Drosophila melanogaster: one gene and its partners. The protein of the gene in region 1 interacts with the protein of each later gene in a pairwise test. Each region holds a gene or a part of one and is shown in the gene's direction. Other genes may lie near its edges.

Evidence for each region.
Region 2: the proteins of Roe1 (region 1) and CG10311 interact in a two-hybrid assay, tested with the Drosophila melanogaster proteins (one large-scale study listed by BioGRID).
Region 3: the proteins of Roe1 (region 1) and CG31775 interact in a two-hybrid assay, tested with the Drosophila melanogaster proteins (one large-scale study listed by BioGRID).
Region 4: the proteins of Roe1 (region 1) and CG5853 interact in a two-hybrid assay, tested with the Drosophila melanogaster proteins (one large-scale study listed by BioGRID).

What each region holds. Positions count from the first base shown.
Region 1 is NT_033778.4:13,552,549-13,556,138, forward strand, and holds Roe1 (Roe1), read left to right. Parts: upstream 1-1,528; 5' UTR 1,529-1,632; coding exon 1,633-1,718; intron 1,719-1,838; coding exon 1,839-2,133; intron 2,134-2,478; coding exon 2,479-2,739; 3' UTR 2,740-3,058; downstream 3,059-3,590. Other genes in the region: link, read left to right, coding at 3,440-3,590. UniProt on the Drosophila melanogaster protein: Essential component of the PAM complex, a complex required for the translocation of transit peptide-containing proteins from the inner membrane into the mitochondrial matrix in an ATP-dependent manner.
Region 2 is NT_033777.3:16,351,003-16,358,572, reverse strand, and holds the start of CG10311 (uncharacterized protein), read left to right. Parts: upstream 1-1,557; 5' UTR 1,558-1,773; intron 1,774-6,213; 5' UTR 6,214-6,241; coding exon 6,242-6,484; intron 6,485-6,541; coding exon 6,542-6,695; intron 6,696-7,342; coding exon 7,343-7,443; 3' UTR 7,444-7,570. Other genes in the region: CG17931 (uncharacterized protein), read left to right, coding at 1-31.
Region 3 is NT_033779.5:14,736,562-14,739,737, reverse strand, and holds CG31775 (uncharacterized protein), read left to right. Parts: upstream 1-1,968; 5' UTR 1,969-2,007; coding exon 2,008-2,019; intron 2,020-2,086; coding exon 2,087-2,344; 3' UTR 2,345-2,648; downstream 2,649-3,176. Other genes in the region: CG31835 (uncharacterized protein), read right to left, coding at 2,738-3,176.
Region 4 is NT_033779.5:9,941,602-9,949,487, reverse strand, and holds the start of CG5853 (uncharacterized protein), read left to right. Parts: upstream 1-1,839; 5' UTR 1,840-2,222; intron 2,223-4,806; 5' UTR 4,807-4,832; coding exon 4,833-5,193; intron 5,194-6,429; exon of another isoform or gene 6,430-6,434; coding exon 6,435-6,605; exon of another isoform or gene 6,606-6,670; coding exon 6,671-6,807; exon of another isoform or gene 6,808-6,867; coding exon 6,868-7,013; exon of another isoform or gene 7,014-7,080; coding exon 7,081-7,319; exon of another isoform or gene 7,320-7,377; coding exon 7,378-7,788; exon of another isoform or gene 7,789-7,848; coding exon 7,849-7,886.

The sequences.
Region 1 (3,590 bases):
TCAGAAGAGCATTCGTCATTCATAATTAATGTCGACAAAGGAGTGTACTTGGCATTGCAAATTAGTCAGGCACGTGAAAACACCATTTTTATTTTTAGCCTAATTTGTACGTGTTTTTGAGTGCTTTTAACCTCTCAAACAAACATTTTTGTTGTTTATTTTTAGAACCGCTTATAAACAATATACAACTATATGGCGGAGAAATGGCATTGTGTGAAAAACTTTAATTAGATCTAAGAATATCATTTAATATATTGTTTTTTAATGTGTTTTTATTGCACAGATAGCTATTAATAGCACTTGGAATCTTTCTTTAATAGGAAATCTACTATAGACACTGTTGAAACTAGCTTTAGCTGTAGTTTTTGTATAAAACCTAGTCTAAACTACATGTTTACTATGTTTACCTCTTTATTTCCCTTCCTGTGAAGCTTTCTTAGTCCACCCACCTGAATTGTTTACGCCTCTCACTCAAATCCAGGACTCTTCTCAATGGCTTGGGTGAGTTGCCCGGCGACGTGGCTGCCGCTCCATCATTTTCCTCCTCCAGAGAACTGGACACCGAGGTACTTGCCACCATTTGGAGGGCCAATTGGAGATCCTCCTCACGCATTTTTTGTTGTTTTTTTTTATTGGAAAAGTATGAAAAAAAAACCGAGTTTTGAGACGACAACCTCGTTGTTCCGGTGGCGAGATCCAACTAAGTGACTTCTCGTGCTTCGTTTTCCAAAATATATACAATGCATGCGCATATGTAATACTTGGCAGTGCGATCGGAGAGGTAAGTTGTTGAATAGATGCTATGCCCGCCTCGTACACTCGTACTTTGAATTCATTAAGAGCCTTCCGATATTTACATTTCCAGAGCAACTTTTTTCGAGCGGTCCATATTTTGGCGGCCCCGGGGCGTGGCCGATCTGGTATGAGATCGATTTATAAGCTATGCGTGGATTAATAGCCGGTGGCGCACTCTTAATAATATATGTCCGAAGGTAGCGCCAAGAATATAGGCCCATTTTTGCATTAACACCGATCGATTTTAAGTGGACCTGCGCCTGCCAATATTGTCGATACACATTTTCACATTTTTATATGCCATTTGCATATTCCGTTTGTCCATTTTATATAAGAAATATTTTGTCGCTTTAAATTTGTATTTATGACCAAGGTGAATTCTCAGGGGTGTCAGGAACTACTGATCAAGTAGGGATTTCTTTATTAATAATAATTGTTTGTTTATTGCATTTTTGGGTTTAAGTGTGTAAAGTGGTAAAATTTCATACATTTTTGATTTCATTTTGGTAATATTGATGCTATTTAAATATTTATTTATTACTTGCACCGATTTCCTTCTTAATTTATTTTTAAGTATTTTAGTTATATAAAGAGATTTTCTTTGGATTTAATGTAAATAATTTTTTACATGAATGAATCCGAGCTTACATCTATTCTACATCCGACTTGACTGTTGCATTCTACAGCTGCGCTGCGGTCACACTAAGCGGCAACACCGGGTGGAATCGATAAACAATTACTATCGAACACACATCGATTGTTGAGAGAGCTGTGAAGCCGACGATTTTACGTCAAAAGCGGAATAAGTTTATTTAACGTACGAAAAAGCTAAGCATAATGTCAGCAAAGGCAGCCTTACCACTGCAGATGTTTGGCCGGCGACTCGTCCACCTGAGGTCATCGGTCACTTCTCAAAATATGAGGTAATTCCGGTTGCATTGCTTCCTCTTATCTGTGACGTAATGAGGGCGCACGTTTGTCGTTTCGCATGTAATTCTAACATTGCCTCCCGTCTCACTCCCAATCGTCTACCACACAACCAGTGCCCTGCGTTTGTACAGCACAGAGAAACAGCCGGAAGAAGCGACAGAGCAGAAGGCCACCGAATCGTCGCCAGAAGTTGAGAAACTCACCAAGGAACTGGCCGCCGCCAAGGAGCAGAATGCCGAGCTAATGGACAAATACAAGCGTTCGCTAGCCGACAGCGAAAACATGAGGAACCGACTGAACAAACAGATCAGCGACGCCAAGATCTTTGGCATCCAGAGCTTCTGCAAGGATCTGCTCGAGGTGGCGGACACACTGGGACATGCCACACAGGCGGTGCCCAAGGATAAGGTACAAACTATCTTATCTTAAGATTTAAGGTTTAAGGTATCTTAAGGATTCAGACTCGCAATGAAGTTGCATATGTTGAGATAAGAATTTCGTAATTATTTGTTGCCAATACTTGAAAATCTTCATAGCATTTTAAGGTGTATTTTCCCGATCTTTCCATTTCTATCTGAGAGATAACAAACCCGATTGCATTACATACATCTAATTGTACATATAGATTTGTTGGGGTATTTTAAATTGAGATATTTGGATAACTTGTTAGCCATTTTAGACTTAATAGATAGTTTAATCGTTTTGCATTAACATTCTTAAAGCTACCCTTACTAATGATCTTAATTATTGCAGCTCAGCGGCAATGCTGATTTGAAGAACCTGTACGAGGGCCTCACCATGACGCGCGCCTCGCTGCTGCAGGTGTTCAAGCGACACGGACTGGAGCCACTGGATCCCATCAACCAGAAGTTCGACCCCAATCAGCACGAGGCGCTGTTCCAGAAGGAGGACAAGACCGTCGAGCCCAACACCGTGGTGGAGGTGACCAAGCTGGGCTACAAACTGCACGAGCGTTGCATACGTCCGGCCTTGGTGGGCGTGTCGAAGTGTTGATAGCCATGCGGCTGCCCAGAGGCATGTAAAATTCCCAGTACTCCCCCCCCCCCCCTAAACCAATTTACATGGCGTGTGTCTCTCAATTGTTTGCAATTTGTTTTCCGCTGCAAAATTCATGTACGTAAACCCTGTGTAAATACAACCTATCCCACAAACGCATCCTTCGGGCAAAGCTTGCGAATTTAGAATTCCTCCTAGTTTCTAAGAGATCTGTGACTGGATTTGATGGCCACAATTTGTACCATACGCGTGGCCATCGAGTGTTCCACTTTAAGGTTTAATTACGATAATAAAACATGTTTTAGTTTGTTGAAATATACCACGGAAATTTGTATTTCATCCTCATCTGGAGGAGACTCTGTTTATCTAGGTCTCTTTTTAGTTTCCTTTGATTTTCCCCGTTTTCCTTAGCCCTTGAAATTCGAATCCCTCATGAAAAACCATTTCTTTTGTTAACAAAAACCAGGTAGCGAAGCGTAATCGCATTCCTGCTCGTCGCGTAGGTGGAAAATTCAATGGAAATGCGTGATTTTCTATGACCCAGCAGGTAGGCTTCCAAGCACGTTCCCATGAATTCAGAGGTAGCACAGATGGTGGGTTCCCTAAAACGAGATTTGCGCCAGAGTTGAAAGTCTACTTCAAACGGTTTTGAACTATCTCGTTGGTTAGTTGTCCTTAAACATTTGAAGTGAACGGTATGATTGGTGTGCTAATGCGTTTTCTCTGGTCCTTGGCCATGGTGCAGTGCATCCAGGCTAGAGTGTCGATGCTGCCTCGTTTTTATGGACAAGACAGCGCTGTTATAGTGGACATCAATAGAAAATTCCCACCTAGAATGGACTCCAAGC
Region 2 (7,570 bases), on another chromosome or scaffold:
AGAGGCCGCTGCGGCGGGCACAAGCAAATAGTCAACCCACTGGCTTGATAGAGATCTGGACTCCCGGTTGCATTTCCGGACAGGTTAGGCTTATAGTCAGTCGTTCGTCAGCCAAGACCCCGATTCGCCCAAGGACCTAGGATAGTTGGTTAGAATGTACATGAAGCAACATACATAATTCACGAGAATTGTATACAACTACGCATAGATATTACCGGGCTGTACAGCACGCGACATAGCAATAGCAATAGCAAGTGCCACCCAAGGACTTCGATTCTGTTCCGGTTTTTGTTCATTTTCGTTTGCAGTGCTGCTGTACGATAATTAAGTAATCTTACATTTTATTTCTCCACCTACCTGACTAAATTATTTACTGTAATGTATATATATAAATTTTCAAATAAAACATAATATGCAGCCGACAGAAAGACTCAATTATGTGTTATTGTGTTTGACGAAAATATATATATAGATTATGGCACTCGATAACGGTCGATTGCTACCGAAAATTAACTTTAACTAATGAATCCCTTTTCTAGCAAATATGGTCGCCGAAGAGAGAGATATAAAGATTGATAATCCCAGAGCAATCCCCATAAGTATAGCTCAAGAATGTTAAATATAAGCCTTAGATCTTTAAAATCGGAGTATGAATAGGGCGCTGGATACGACCTACTAAACTTCCTGGTCTGATTTAAGCATGACCTAATGAGGTATTTAATTTGCCTCGAGTCATGCTGAAATTTGCATACAATGGAATATGGATATTTGTAAATGGCACGATTTGATAAATATGAAAGTAGCTGCATGCCAAAGCTTGCCCCACAAAACTATCGCCTAGATGCCAATAAGTCGATTGCTAGCATTTACCTTTTACAGAATAAATGACCAAAAACCTGGCCACTAACGACTGGCAGATGCACACAAAAAACATGCTGCTAAATAAAATTTCAGTTTTAGTTTAATTTTATTTTATTTATGTATAAGAAAAGATATCAAGAAACAACAACGAATTTTGCGCAAGACTGGTAAACTAAGTCATTGAAACTTAAATACTGTGACTTTTATCTTTTGGAATACCTATCTGTTTTCGAATAGATCTTCATACATTGTGCCACAGTGCACGGTCTTATTCATGGCCAATAAAGGCAGATGGGGTCATGGCGTGCTGATGTATCTTCGGCTGAAATCTCGAGTTCCTTCAACGAGGAAAACAACACGGATGTAATGAGAACGTCCACTGATTTGTTTGACTTGGCTAGTGCAATGCGCTGTAGAAGATCGCCTCACCATTGTTTGACCAAGTGCTTGATATCTTCATGCCGGAACAGCAGAGCAACGTGGGCCATCGAAACGCCTAACTGGTTTCTGCTGTTTCTGCCTCGGAGAAAGCTTCTTGCCGGTCACGCAAAAGCTGTCTTAACTAAAAACAGCGTCCAAGTTTTGAGAACTTTTCAGCCAGCTAGCCGAGAACGAGCGGAAAAATCAACTAACGCTCGCAGATGTGAAAAATCGCGATCGCGAGTCGGCTCTCACGTTGGCGGCAGCAGCCCGCGTTTTCAGTCGCTCCGTGAAACCCGTCGCACTCACATCGAAATCGCGCGCAAGTCGTCGGATCCAAATCGCCTCGAAACGCTACGCACTTGGAGGAGGCAAATATCAAATATATGAGAATAATTAGTTAGGAGGCAGCCGAATCAGCGGAATCAAATCGATTTCCCTCGACTGCATTTAGCAGTGCTGCACCATCAAATCAAAAATAAATTAGAAAGTGTAAGTGAATATATGGCTGGCTGCCAGGAGACTGACATTATCAGCGGAGAAATGCAGGCAGTTGGCAGCCGATTGGGCGGATCGGGAGATCAATCGATCGCCGTCGCATGCAAATCGAGTGATAAACGATCGCCTCGAAATTGAAATAACAGGCGAGCAGCTGGCCCCCGGAGGTGGATACATATGCATATGTGTGATCAAACAGAAGTGTTTCTCGGGGAAGGGCGGCGTGAGGAGTGGGAGGAGTAGGTAGCCCCCAGTAGCCATATACTCATATACCTATCTATACTATACAGCCAGTTACCCGACTTGAGGCGCGCTCGTCTGCCTTGCGGTTGTATGTGCTTATTTATACAAAATATATTCAATTTCATTAAGCTGTCGCTGCTGGCTGGCCGTCCAGTAATTTCAATATTCAAATGATCGCTGATAGCTAAACCCCCTGACTTTTTTACTTTTCTGAGCGCCCGCAAAAGCTGCGGTAAAATTGAGAAAACCGCAGCGTATAAATAATTGGAAAACAATAATGCCACTGTTTGATCGCTGACCCAAATTGGCAGAGAAAATGAATGCATCTTAATGAAAACAGAGTCAGTCTGTTTGCTGCAGGCATAGCGATCTATATAGTCGATGCACTCGGTGATGTCAGAATTGCGAACTGACATTGAAAGTCTGCGAACGGCGACAACCTGAAAGCCTTCTTCTTTGCCTTTTTGGGGACCTCAAGTTGAACACGTTGCGAGTTTAGGGATAAGTGGGCCATCCAGCCCAGTGTTCAGGTGTGCGGGGGCGTATACGTAATATGCGCGCCTGGCATACATTTCAACTGAGCCACATTTTGGCTATTCGCCTCAGTCGCGAACCATAAAAATCACATCAAAGCCCCAAATGAAAGCGTCGTTCATTGAATCTTAAGTGGCCACTCCTCCTGGGAAGTAATTATAAAGGGAAATAAACGGTCTTCAAGACAAAACTGTTTCTAATCCATCCACATTTGGCAAAGTTCAGTGACGCGCATCCACTTGGAAGCAGTGAAAAATGAACAATGTGAAGGTTACTCAATTTACAAGGCAACAGATAACGCCACCAAATTTTATTTGACAAAAAATATTCTGGCAGAACAAGCCAAGGCGTTCGCACACCTACGCCATACGAGATGGCACATGGGCGTAGAATTCTCGACGAACAGGTGTTGAAAATCATAAGGTGGAGTCCCATTCCTGACCCCAGACAGCCACTGATCAGAGATTGTGAGAGCTGTTCCAAAAGTTCCACCGCTTTTGTCGACTCTCTAGATTTCTAGTTGCTCGCGACCTTGTGATCTATTAATAAGTGTTTCGTGTTTTTATATATGAATCATTTTGATGGGCGATCTGTTTATGAGTTAACTTTCGTTTGGCTGGGAAAACGAAAAGCCCAAAATCCGAAAGATCCCCGAAAATTGAGTTTTTGATCGCGTCCAATGTCGCGGCTTCATTGACCCTGAAAACTATGTAGTGTCGACAGAACGAAAAGTATCTCATGGATGCGCGCACATTTGTATCTTGCGTCTAAAAGACGCCGCTGCCACTAGTAATTACAAAATCTTGTTCGGCAAACGGAAACTTCAAAGGCTGCAATTGAGTTTGCAGCTGCAACGGTTTTAATTGATTTATATGGCAAGTCGAGTAATGTTTAAAAAGCCGCGGAAAAAAGCCAATTTGACAAAAAATCAAAGACAAAAAGTCAAGTGGGAGCTGGAATAGCAGAAATAAAAAAAACAAAAAAAAAACAAAAATGCGGCGTGCTTTGGACCTGTCAAATTTGGTAGAACGATTTCTACCGGTTTCAAATGGACCTAAATAAATGAAAAAAAAAAACAGACCCGGCCACTCAAGTGAGCTCCCACTTTCTGTCGAAGATTGTAGATTGAGCAATTTCCAGCCACATACAAAATGACTTTGTCTTTTCGATAACTTTTGTGCCTGGCGCAAAAAGTAGCGCAGAAAAATGTCAAACTTAATTACGCGTTGAAGCGCAAACTAATTGCCGAGTGGATTTGCGGGCTTCAGCGGGCAGCAGGGTCACAAAAGTTCGAATGGCGATAAAGTCGACAACAGCCAAAGCCGAGAATAATTGGCTTTGGCTCCGTTTTGCGGCCCACGACAACAGATAATAGCCGCACACAAAAAAGTATCTGTCAGATATACATATTTAAAAGCTGGACACGTGCTCATTGCACACGAAAATTAGCATTTACTTGTGGATCGAACCCATTTTCCACAAGCATAAAGGCAATGGCAATTGAAATGATTTATATGAGCATTATTTCACTTCGCTTTACTAGACAAATGGGTCAGCTTATGGTTAATGGGATACGATAAATGATTACTTGTGTTTTTATAATTTGAATTTTATTGTAAATACTTGTAGTTAAAATAATTTGTATTATAAATTTTTATTGAAAGTTATTATCTCATATAAAGTAATAACAATAATTACAATATGACTACGTTCTGAGACCATTCTACTATTTCGTGGTCTGACCCACAAATTTTGCAGCCTGCGGTAAATGTTTTTTGTTTTCCTTTTCTTGGCTTGCATTTTCTAAAGCCACTTTCTAAAATAAATATAAAATATTGATGTATTCCATGAAAAACGTCAAAAATTCATGCTTGAGTAAGTGCATTCCCAATGCCTTTTAATTTGTTTGTCGACAAACTTTACCTTTCACAAAACCGGCAGCATCCGCCACACTTTTACTCCCACACCATCACACTTCAGACCCAAAGCAACTCCATCCAGCTACGTAGTGCACGTCCAACTGCCCAGTTGCACTTGTCAAGTCAGAAGACTTTCCAAGACTCCAAGCCTACGTCAAGTGGAGGCACGAATTCCTCGGAAAGAGTCGCCCACGCCATGGCTTGAACTTGACTCCAAAAGCTGCGAGTCACGCCTATATATACATATAGTAAAACCACTTTGTGTGAGGCGAGCGGAAGTCAACGTCAGCATTAGATGAGTTCATTGCGAATATTAACGCCATTAAACGAATGAGTGGGCTGATCGCTTCCATATCGAGGTTGTCTACCCCTTTCCACTGATATGGAGAAGTCTCTAATTGTTCGCCGAGGTCTAAAGTATCTTAGCTTTACTTGGGTTTGTTCTTCTAACCAGGTCAAAACAGCGATATCGCATTGCCGCAGAAAGTAACCCAAGACGTTTGTCTGAGTTGTAGAAACCAGACAAATGCTTTCTGCTCGGATCTGTATCCAATTGAGGTACCATTTATAAACAGACGCAAACGTGGAGATCGTCTGAGTTAAAAACCCGTGCGAAACGCGTGTAAACGGCATGTTAATGCGCCATATGTCCGGTTTATGAGCCCCGCCGCCAGTTTGTGACGAAACTATAAAAAAAAGTTTTTGAACTGCTATAATTTAAAGAATGTGATGTGATCTTCGGCACGCACCCTCACCGCCGCCCCTGATAATTGCGCAATTTGTATAACACTTCTGTTGCCCAGATTGTTCGCATCTCTTCACTGTGTTGTTGTAGGTCGTTTGAGGTGTGAAACTCAGCGGAAATGGGCTTTACATACAAATGGTATCTGTAAATGTATCTGTATCTGTTCGCTAAACTTTAGTTGTTTGCCCAAGGCATTTCCCAGCCAGCCTTTCTATAATGACTCAAAGCGTTTCCATGTAAGACAAGATATTTTGGCATGTGATTATCTCATCCAAGACCGCCGTGAGCCACATGTATACATCAGATATATCACATGGATACACAAGTGCCCGCATCCAATGGATGCAAACCAGCTGCAGCGGCATTTGCAAGTGCCAACATGCGCCACATCAATCTGCAGCCGGTCCGAGGCACGTTGAGCGTTTGATTAATTTAATGACAATGCCCGGTGGCGCTATTTCGCTATCTGGATAGATGGGTGCAACCCACATATGTATACTCGTACCAGTTCCGCCGATCGTGTGCGCATGCACCGATGATATAAACTTTCCCAAGCTCGCCATCTCTACTGCCATTCCAGCTCGAATCCCTGAAGGAATAGTACGATTAAATTAGTCATTCGTGTCGTTGATTTATTTTAGAGCTTCCATAAATATAAAGCTTACGTCTTTCAAGTATTTCACGCTTTCTGTCCATTGTTTTCTTTGTTTCTTCTATTTTTAAAGCACATTTGTTTAATAAACATTTATTTTTTTTGTGTGCTTGACGTCACAACTGGTAAAACTGTGGAATTTTAATGTTGTAGTATTGGTTGTCTTTACTTTTGCAATAGTTCGGATATTTCAATTAAGTTACAAAACATATCTTTGTCTAGTTTTACATGAGTATATCGAGAACTTACTCACTATTCTATTGCTGTGTTTTTATTCTTTTAAGTTATATGTGTTCAAAATGGTACTTGAAATTGATGATTGTGTTTCTTAATATTTTCAGCTGGTAATCACAATATAGATTTGCCAAAATGCCGAAGCCACTGTTAAATTCGTGCTGTCTGTGCCAATCGACCCGGAATGGCTCCGTTATCTCGGGCATACTGGCGATAGTCCTGTCGATCATCACCATCGTGGTGATCTTCACGACGCGGGTGCACTTCAAGACGATAATCTTTGACTTCATCCCCAATGACATTGTTAAGATAATTCTAGTCATCAATTTGTGCATGACGATCTTGATATCGCTGCTCATGATCATTGGTGCCCTGAAGGTGTGTACTCAGCTAATTTAATTAAATGCATACAATAAAAATCTATCTATGTTCCAGCGGAACCACTACCTGATGGTTCCATGGGTGGTCCTCGGCATTATGATTGCCATCGGTCTGCTGATCTCCGTCATCTACACGGGCATCGTCTTCTTCATCGACGGCTACGTGCTGACGGGAGTCCTCTGGCTGATCTTCGGCCTAATTGTCTGCGGTAAGTGCACTCCCTCTTGGTTGGTGAAAAATGGGTGAGGGGGGGGGGGGGGTCTTGCTACTTCTCCATGTGCGGTTTTTAGCACCGGATGACGGTTATTGCGAGCCGTTTTTAATTTATAGACGCATTTATCATGCCATGATTGCCCGTGTGCTGAAAACAGAAGTGCCCCGGCGCCGCAGACTAGAGGATTTTGGAGGTAACTTGCCGGGTGGTGCAAGCAAATGAGGCGCAAAGTGGCTTGTTGAGGCCATTTGTAGAAATGTCAGCTGCAGAACTTTGATAGGAGTTTATTGGGAAAGCTATACGATTGTTAAATAAGCTCATTAAATGAATCAAACAAATTTAATTGTATTAATTCAGCGGTATAAAAGTTAAAGAACCGAATCACATTGTGAATGCTTCAGGTTTATACATATATTCCTCGCTTTTTTTTTACTTTTGAAAAATGATATTTTTCAAGTTTTACAAATTTGCATATTAAATTTGATAAAAATTAAGTGCTTACCGAAAATGAACCACATACGAGTTAAAAGTCAATTTACATTACATCGTGTAAAATCGGATGCAATTCATGTAGAATATAAAATGACAGCACTCTTTTGCGCGCACATGCCCTAACCCAATGTTCCTCCTCCATCTTTCAGCGATTATGACCTATTGCTGGTGCGTGGTCTATAGTGAATACGCCAACCTGTCCGAGGAGAACGAGCGCGGTCGTTACAACAAGCAGCCGTACCGTCGCTAGAATCTCCAGGAGCACTATTCATCAGAAATTGCATTCAAGAAGCTGAATCCACCACCCACACATCTTCATCCTAGCTTCCTATGTTCGTTTTTAGTGATTATGTCTAACTAATAATTATAATTTAGTT
Region 3 (3,176 bases), on another chromosome or scaffold:
ATAAACATGCACTGTACTATTTTGTCCGGTGAGCACAGCTATCTACGTGACAAATAACGATAATGCAATTTGTTTTCCAAACCTATATGAAACGAGAAATAAGCCCCCATTATTGATAAGGAACTAAATCTTTTATCTAAATCTTTTGACAGTAGAAGATAACTCAAAGGATATTTTATATTTGCTCAAATCAGAATGCAGTTATCGAAAATTAAACTTCCCTTGAGCTGAAAATTTAGCTTGAATTTATAATTATACATATGTCCAAATGTAATACAGCTTCAGTGTGTGTACACATAAAATTCAAAACCCAAAAAATCCACAAAAATTGCTATTTTAGTAGGTATTGCGTTGAACACATCGGTTCTAAATGTGGCTGTTGTGCCATTAGTTACTCTTCTGTCTCTGTCTCGGTTTGAATCTCCATCTCGCTCTCTTCTTTTTAATTTTCCCGACTTGGTGCGCGGCAGTTGTAATAGAAGTTTTCCGGCTTCATGCACCTCCGCCCTTGCACCACCCCCTTTCGGCGACCATTGTGGTGGATTCAGTACACTCTTAAAAATAAGATGTTTAATAAACATATAGCAGGTGGAAGCCGAATGGAGCGATTTGCACCAAAACAAAGTAATAAAAACAAAATTTTCTTATTTTTTGCTTATTATTTCCTATCGAAATCTATATACCCCAAGCTGTGATTATTAGATTAAGCGTCTGCGATGAGGTAGCAAAATTCTAGCACTGCATTAACAGAGCTGATTTCTGATCAGGGGTTGAGGACCTTTAGCCTGATCTTTCTTCTTGTTAATTTGTTTTGCTTATTTTGGAGCTGATTAGCTATATACCGATTAAAAGCTTTTCAATTGCCACTAAAAAAAAAGTATAAGAAACGGCGAAGACTTTTTAGCGCTGCATTTAAATTCACAAGCTTAACAGTATTCTTTTAGGCTGAATTTGCTCTCAAAAAAAGTACAATTGGTTTGGAAAATTTTAAATGTTTTTGAATGTAACCAAACACAGCGAAAAAAAATACAAATAATATTTCTTTAAAAAAAAGGATGTAAAGAAATAAACTAGTCTTATTAGTTTAATAAATACAATTTTTTAAGACACATAATTTCTATGTTTTTATAGACGGTACTTGTGGAGTAATTGAGTATACCAAATTCTTTAAAAAGTCTGTGGGAGTTCGAAGAAGGCGTTGCCGAACCTTTACCTATACAGAATATATATATTCTTCACCAGCATCACCAGCGGAGTCTATCTAGCCGTATTCGTTTGGCCATCTGTCTGTAAGCCTGTCTGTATGAACTGAATGAGATTCAGACCTCTAAATAGTTCCAATTCTTTCAGAACCTGTGCCAACAACACTCTAGATTCTTCATTGATTTCATCTAGTCTTGTCTTGTAAATATCTTAGTTCTTCTATTAGCTAAGAAATGGGTATCTGATAATCGAGGAATGCGACTATAGTGGTCTAACCTGTTAAGCGCTAAAATTCAAAGACATAACATAATTATACGTATGTATAAAAAATTAATCCATGATTACAAGGATTTCATACTTAATTATCCCTCCTCATTTCGAAAGTCTAATGATAACCCAGAAAAGCAAACAAGAACATTTGTTGCCGTAACACGTTTGTGATGCGTGAAAACGGAACATAAATGATCTAAAGTAATCTCAAACAACGTCTTCTTCTAAGTCGCCCTTAGTTTTTCTTAGCAACTGTTGCGGACTTATTAGATTAGGCTCGACTTCCCAGATAAGATTGATGTTGAAGGGTTCCCCCCGTTGAGCATAGGCATTGATACAGTGCTCAAATATTAATTTCCCAGACGTCTGGAAATTTTTTTCGTATTTTTGTTGGGTTAATTGTACTTGATTTTGTCAGAACATTGATAATACTTCGGCGCGTGACGACATGATGAGATTGCAGGAGAGTATAAAAGATCGGAGGCGTCCAAAAATTTTATTCACATTAGCAAGACTAACCGAAGTATCAGCACCATGAAGTTTTTGGTACGTTTTACATATACGCTTCAAAGAAAAACCTTTAAGAACTAAGTTGATTTTAATATTGTTACAGATCCTCTTCATTGCCCTATTCGCCGCGGCCGCTGCCCTACCTCAGTTTGGATTCGGCGGTGGATTCGGTGATCAGCAGCAGCAGCAGCAAGGAGGATTTGGAGGTGGATTTGGTGATCAGCAGCAGCAGCAAGGAGGATTTGGCGGTGGATTCGGAGGTGGATTCGGTGATCAGCAGCAGCAGCAGCAAGGAGGATTTGGAGGTGGATTCGGAGGTGGATTCGGTGATCAGCAGCAGCAACAGCAACAAGGCTGGTAAAAACCAATTCATAGCACCGTCTTAACGCAGATACCTCAATAAAAATATGACACCTTTATGATAAAAAAACAATTGGAATTTTTTACTTTATCGTTCTCGAAAATTTATGAGTTTTATGAAAATAAATTTATATTTATTATTCATTTATATTTATTAAATAGTGCCCAGAAATAAATACACTTAACATAAGGGACAACGGGAAATATCTTCTCTTTCAGATGTTCAAATGGTTTTACTTAAAACATTGTAAATATAAATAAAAGCCAAAATATAAAAGCCATATTATAAATATAAGCCAAATTTTCACAAAAATTTTGTTTTTCTTTGAAATATGTAACGCAACTAAAAAGCGGATTCAACATGATTGAAAAAACAGATACAATTTCGAGTATCCTAATCAATGGCCTCCTCAGCAGCCACCCTTTTGTGCTCCTCGATCTGCACCTTGTCCAGATCGACTCCATCTTTTTTGGCTGCCCGTATCTCGCCTTCCCCCTCCGATCCGTCTAGCTGGTTGGTCTGCCAAACTCCTGTCCACGGCAGTGACATCACTGACATGACCTTGACCAGACTGCTATGGTTTTCCTGGTCTAGATCACTCTCCCCATTTCCTTCCCGTATTCGTCTGTCTCCATCCGGCAACTGCAACTCCTCGCAGCACAGCATGGAAATCAGCAAGTGCTCAACGAAGAGGGTTCGCCGCAGCCTTTGAGATTCGTCCGTATCGTGGCACTGCACTTTTTGCTGTGCAATCCACTGAAGTAGAACATATCTGTCGTCGTCGTGTTCGAATGGCCCCCCGGAACTCAAGCCTAACGCCAGGGACTCTGAA
Region 4 (7,886 bases), on another chromosome or scaffold:
CCGGATCGCACTTCTCCATGTCATCGGGCTTGTTACTCGCTACTCTTTCAATCCCCGGAACCAGCTTAGACCAAAGTTCATGCCCAGCCAGCTGGGTGATCATTGGTCACCAGTGGCACTTGATAAAGTCATGACGTTTTCTACATTTGTTACACTTTGCTCCGTTCTCCATTATTAGCTTAGGAAAATACAAAACAATACATTACTTACTATATCAATCAGCTATTGTTTAGTACGCGACGAGGAGGGACAAAGTCCGCCGGAGGATTGAATCATATACTAGTAGAGTGGGATCGGGGTTCGTTTGATGGTGTAATTAATACGATAATAACTAAATAAGCACTTATCAATGAAGTTGAATTGCTGGGGAATGAAAAGTGGAATAGTTTGGAGTTCCGAAATGGAAAGTGAAAACATACAGATTGTCGGTATAGTATTGTTATAGTATTATTTAATAATGCAGTTAAAAGTCCGCTAAGTTTAGTTGAAGTTTATTGTAGTGTTATAAAATACATTCTAGTTGAATGCAAAATTAAGTATATTATGCACATCAAATTGCAGTATTTAGCTTAATTATTACAAAACTGGATATCAAACATTGGTTGCAAAATCTAGTCTTGAATAAATTGAAGTTTAGTGTTTCTTTTATATATATGATTAAAGTATTATATGATATGATCAAAGTATTATACGGATACCTCTTCGAATTCAAAATCCAATCTCTTTGTTCCATAAATTCACGTGGAAATGGAAATGAGTGGCGATAACCTTGCTCCGCGAATGTTAATTAACCCACAAGGGATCGATGAGCACCGAACAAGGAAGCTAAACGGTGAAGTAACTCTGATTCACGAGCGGCACAAAGAGCCTTAACAAGCAAACCAACCTATTGGCGGGCACATTGTGAACATATATAGGCATTGTTAACTGGCCCGATAATATTCAGTCCGTGGAATAGAGCTCGCTTTTGTTTCAGAATGAAACCGAAATGAAGAAAGCGACGCGGGAATGTTTATTACGTATTACGTATACGCCAATTATGGAGTGTCAAAGAAATTCGATAGGTGGACTTGTGACCCCAAAGCACGATCCGTTGTCAACCGGAGCAATCGGGCCGAGATCGTGATCGTGTGCCGCCAAAAAGCCAAAACTCAATCAGCCAGGTGAGAATACCTATGTGCGTGTGTGTGTGCTCCGTGCGCGTTGGTGTGCGTGAGCGGCTCTTATCAGCGAAGGAAAACGACAATATAACAACGGCTAAACACTAATAACCAATGCGAAATATACGCGAGCAGCGACTGCCGAACGATCTTGGTTTTGGATTCAGTGCTGCGAATCTAGCTATTTTCACCTGCAGGAAAATTTAATAAAATATGGCATAATTACTAATTCATTTTAATTTAATTTTACTCCCCCGTTACGTTTAATAGTTTACAAGAAGCTTTCTTAAATATTTGCACATTGTTTATACTTAGACTTTTGCAATAACAAAAATGATAAACTAAAAAACTGGTTTTGTATTGTATTCTATATCTAACTCTTAAGATACCCAATCCAATTAATAGCAGATACAAGATGTTTGATTGTAGCTTGTAGTTCAATGTACAAAGATCAGAAACTGAAAGATGATTCATCTTATTTATAAATGGATTACCACTTCAGTAGCTGCAGTAGCTTAAGTAATAACTACTTTAAAAACAGGTTTGTGATTGATTGATAATCAAAAGATTTGTTAAATAAAGTTATTTACTGAATTTAAATGCATACTAGTTGATTTATTTCCCGCCATAGATGTAGAGCTGCCACCACTGAACGCCTTCGATAAAGCCCGCGCTCCACACACATCCACACCCACATCCACTTGGGGAGCTGAGATACACGACACACACCCGCTGAGACAGCCGATCGTGTTCTTTGTGGCCAGTGAGTCGTCAGCTGGGCCGACGAAGCGATTCTCCGACTTCTGGACGATCGGTTTGGGATCGGGAATGGGTATTGGTATGGGTATGGGTATGGGAACGGGAACTGCTACCGTCATACAGCCATTCGGCGCTGCAGCACCAGAGCTAGCTGGGATCACTGTTTGTTGACTGGACGCCAGTCGCGCACGTCGCTTCGAAGAAGCTGTTACTCGGTTGTGCGGATCGCGAGTTAAGTCCGTGCGAAGTAGTAGTTTCCCTGCAAATCCCTTCCAGAGTGCGTTAATCCTGACTCTCTTAAGGGTAAGGACTCCACTTGAGTGCACACACACAGCTGTGCTCATGCAAGGGGATGAAGTGAATCCAAAGAAAAGGATACAAAAATTAATGTATAAAAAATGAAAATTATTGGTGTAATTAATGTGATAAGTTTTAAATAAAACGCACTATCAATTAATCTGTGACAACCGCAATACGAGTGAGCCAACAAAAGCAAGACATATTTTATAAATTTACTAGAAACAATAAGTGGCTGAAAAAAAAACTAGAGCAGCGTATTAAATTTATGAATTTAAAAAGAGTTAAATTTTGGAAATTAGAGTTTCATCTAAGTGACTGCAAATTTATAAAAAAAAACATATTCAAAGATTTCAGTAATAAGTGGAGTATTGATGTAATACCTACTTCGCCAGTCGCAGTAAAATGAATTGACGTTTTTAAGACAGAAATTTATTGGCCAAGAGCTTATCAGTGAATTTAGATATAAACGCCAGTCTTTGTTAACACACAAAACTCATTCGAATCGCACGAAGGCAAGTGTTAAATGACTCAATGATTCATGCTACGATATATGCCATGGAATAGATACAAGTGAAATGTATCTTTTTGGCGACTCGAGACCTGATCACTTGTGGGTCACATCCGATTGGGATGACCCCCAATCCGAAACTGCCAAGTTCGCTTTTCGCGCTCTGAGCTCCAGATTTGTAACATGTGAAATGAATAAAATCGATTAGTTGACACAAAGTTTTGTCACAGAATGCGGCAATCGCACTCAAAATCAATATGACAATAATCGAAGACCAAAGATGGGATGCGGTTGTTATTTCCGAATTATCACGCATTATCAGAAATGCATAAACAGAAATCTGTTCCGAGTCATCGAATGGGTTTGAATCGGTAGGGATTTGCTCCCGTTTCCCCATTACCCCGATATTCCGATCTTGAATCAAACAGCTGCTGCTTTCGTTTCCATCTCCTCCCAGCTGCACTGCCGCATAAAATCTGGCGGAGAAGGGGATCCGGTGAACCGGTTTGCAAGGTATACAAGCTATACAAAACAATGTTTCAACGCAGCATCAGCACACAAATGATATACATGGTATACATATGTACGTATGTGTGATGTGTGCACATAAGTGCTGTGGTGTTAAAGGCCGATCTAAGTCTCCGAAAGTCGCAGGCAAACACGAAATGTAAAGCCGGGCTCGAACAAAGGAGTCCAAGAAAATAGCAAGCCCGGCAAAACGTGACCACGGTGGGATCTACTCCGGCATCAGTCAATAATGATGTACAGCCAGCCGATTAAGAGCCATCAATGTCACTCCCTTCGTGACATCCAGGTCATCATCGGGAAATATGGGGCATTGACCATAGGTAACTGTGTTATAACTTAATTAGGTGCATGGCTGCGGAGCAGTTCCCACTGGCGAAGCCCCTACCTTTCCCAACTACTCGAAAACGGAAAGGGAAATCTCCCGGTCGAGGAATTTGCCCAGCTCCTGATAAGACTGCTCGGGCTATATTATTTAGACATTCGTCACAGGTATAAGATTGATTATAATATGAACTTTCAGAAGCGCAGATTCGCAACCTATAAGATACAATCTATACATTGGTGTAACTACAGCCATGCCATATCTGGATCTACTTTCCAAGCAAAAGGATTGCATCCACACAGTTAATTATGAATAATTGATTTAAACAATTTTCATTTCAATCCCACTTTGATAAGCTGTAGCCCATCAATATGTAGCTGCAGCTACATTTATTGCATTTATTACATTTGTTGTTAACTCGCCGCTTGGAACAATGCTTTTGTTTTGATCAGCTCGGATCGGATCGGATCAGATGGGATGGGATCGGATCTAGAGAATCGAGTGGATCGCTTGGATGGACGGATCAATGGCAGATGTGCATATACGACGGCACTCTCACCATCGCCATTCCATCATTCCATTTCCACTCAATTGTGCCGCTTTATTGTTTGCCTCCGCCTCCGTCTGAGCAATTGTACCTTGATCTTTTCGCAAATCTGTGCATTAAATGTACTCGCATTTAATTGTCTTTTGCAGCAGTGCGAAATGTGGAGTAAACTGCGTGCTACATTTCGCTTATGTAAACTGGCACTTAATGCGAACGGTGGATGATAATTGCATGGTTTCGACATCCATCCAATTCGACACCATGTCTTTGGTTAATCGGAAGCATCATCTACGCTGGATTAGTTGCTATCCCCATCGATCCTCCTCCCTTTACATGCCCTTTAAAATTAACAATCTCACCGTGCAATCGTGAATAATCCATGTGAATATGACGGGGTTAGACGACAAAGGTTGATCGATCTCCCCCAGCTTTCGATCAAAGTGCACATTCAGCTGGCGTGGAACCCGTTTCAATAAGCTAAGCTAAATATTTTGTATCGGCTAGCAACTGGTTGCCAACTGATTCCCACTTTTAGCCACGCACCTTGCACAATCCATCAAATCTGCAGACAAAGATCCAACTGGCTAATCATCAAGAGAAGAGTTTCATATAGAGTTAAGCTTTTAGGATGTAATAGAAAACTTTCAGTGAATCCGAAATATATATTTTTATTATATTACAGTTGACAGGCTATCCTAGAATCCCAGAATGGCGACACCGCGCGAGCAGTTCTTGTTCGGCAGCGACAACGGAGTGGCCGGCCTCGGTCTGGGCATCGAGATCGGGGAGGTGACCTCCAGTCGCGTCTATAACAGCACCACAGTGCCAGTTGGCAACAGTGGCGGATGGCGGAATGCCCAGTCCAGTGTTACGCCACCACCCATACCCACACCGCCACAGGTGAACTATACCAATGGGAATGAGCCCAGCAAGCAGCCGCCACTGGAACCTGTCGTGGAGGAGGAGGTGCACTTCGACACCGATGCCCTCAATAATCTGCCAGCTCGCGAGCCTGTGGACATGGAGTTCAAGGAGCTGTCCCTCACCGTCAAATTGGGCTTCAATCGAGGTGAGCTACAAGAAGCGAGTTGTCGCTAACTAACCATTGCGATCGCATGATCTAAGATATGGCTCGATAAGATTGGGGCAGCGGAGAACTTAAAATTAGCTGGGCATTTATATATGTTTTACGATCAGCGGCTACTCTTTGAACGGGAATGACCTTCAATTCTTTATATCCTACCAATATAGTCTCATAAATAATATCTAAATTATGACTAGACAAAACTACTGTTATAATAGAAGATAAAACATATGCTAGAAAGTCTTTTCATTAATAGTATTCTAAGGGATACAGATATACTCAGATAAAGCAAATCCTTCAGATACTATATTTCAAATGTTTCTTAAGTACGAGTGCCATAAGATAATTACATCCGAACAAAGTTTACTACAAGGTTATTCTTTTCGGCAGTGCCTCCACATACCAATCACTTGCCAAACACTTGCTTGCTAGTTCTTTAACCAACTTGGTTTTCCATTGATTAGATAAGAGCCGATCACTCCGCTTATTCCGATCACACCCCCTTCCCGGTTGTATATATTCAATGCCAGTTAGTCATTCATAAATTCCCTTTCCGTCGAGTCCATAAAATGATAAGAAATAACTTGCCAATACGATAGTTAGTAGAGCATTTGTAATTCGATATGATGGGTTTGGCTTTAGAACATTTTGCTAATTTCAAAGTTCAAAAGATATCGACATTGTTTAGCCCCTGGTAACTTGATTAGAACTGCACAAATTTTCAACCCGTGGCGGTAATTAATTAATCAACCTTTCGGTAGGTGGATATATGGCCATTGCTATCGGAATGTTAAATTGGTGACTAGAAGTGCTAAAATGTGTAATATTGCTAACATAACAATACGATTACTGTGAAAGATTGAGTTAATTAAGCTAAACCCTTTTTCCCTATATTTGCAACTCTTTTCTATGGCTTGATACGTATATCACCTAGAATTGTTTACTGATTTGAATTGTTTTCGAGTTGTGTAGTTAACAGGTTATTCACTGAAGTGGATTAATGTAGATTTACTCGAGATCTTACCTCAATAGCCGTTTAATTCAGCCAAGTTATAGCCTGCAGATGATTCATGAATATCGTCGCTCGTACGCGTACTCATGGGTTCTCCATTGGTTCCCTGAACCTTGATACCGACGACCGTATAAAAAAAAAACACACTGAATGTCTATTAAGTTTTTATGATCATATTTTACGATGGCATTTAAGTAATTTCGCAATTTCTTAGGATCCAAGGAAATCTTGCACAATGTGTGCGGAAAGTTCCCAGGCAGCCAGCTGATTGCCATCATGGGACCTTCGGGTGCAGGAAAGTCCACTTTGCTAGATGCCCTTTCAGGTTTCAAGACGACCGGAGTGGATGGCTCCATCTTGCTCAATGGTCGGCGACGTGATTTGCGTTAGTATATGACCTCACTTAATTTATTCAATATATCCAGAATTCATGGTAATCCCTCCCTGCAGCTTCCTTCCGTCGGATGTCCTGCTACATCACCCAGGATGATCGTCTGCAGCCGCTGCTGACGGTAAACGAGAATATGCATATAGCCGCCGATCTTAAACTGGGTCAGACAGTCAGCTACGAGGAGAAGGAGAGCAGGGTGAGTGGGGTGATCTTCACTTAAAGATCATAGTCATAAATCGCGGATTTACCCTTGCAGATCGAGGACATTCTGCTGCTCCTTGGTCTGTACAATCACGATCAGACCCTTACAATGCGCCTGTCCGGTGGTCAGAAGAAGAGGCTATCCATTGCCATGGAGTTGATCAATAATCCCACTGTGATGTTCCTGGACGAGCCCACAACGTATGAGCCAATATATCCATTTTTAACAAACTGAGGAATGTTTACATCTTGCTTTTCTTTCTTTCAGTGGCTTGGACAGTAGCTCGTGCACAAAGGTCCTGGAGCTGCTCAAGAAGTTGACCAGCCAAGGACGCACCATTATTTGCACCATCCATCAGCCGACGGCCAAGTTGTTCCAGATCTTCGATCAGGTCTACGTCCTGTCCGCTGGCAACTGCGTCTACCAGGGCAGCACCCAGAAATTGGTGCCGTTCCTGCAGTCGGTGGATCTGCCCTGTCCGATGTACCACAATCCAGCGGATTACAGTGAGTCCAGCACAGATCTCTGAGTGAATTTACACTAATACAATCCTTATTGCTCCAGTTATCGAGCTCGCTTGCGGAGAGTATGGATACGACAAGGTCGACACCCTTAAGCTCGCCACTGAGAACGGAAGCTGCCTGACTTGGTTCCATAATCCCAGTGCGGTGTTGCGCGCTGAGGTCTTGATGAGAAAGTATCCCATACCAAAGAAAACCAAAAGCCGATCCCTGGAGGACACCAGCTACTCAAACCAGTGCTCTGTGCTTTTGCGACGAGGTTTCATCAAAGCCAAACGAGACACGACCATGACGCACTTGAGGATCGGAGTCAACATAGCAGTGGCCGCTCTGTTCGGAGCTATGTACGATCACACGGGACGTGAAGGATCACGAGTGCTCGACAACTACAATCTTCTGTTTGCCATACTGATGCACCATTCCATGACCACGATGATGTTGACTGTTCTGACTTGTAAGCTCACTTGAGTCGATTGCGTAGACATATTAACTTATTTGAATATCATTTGACCAGTCCCCATGGACATCTCCATATTGATCAAGGAGCACTTC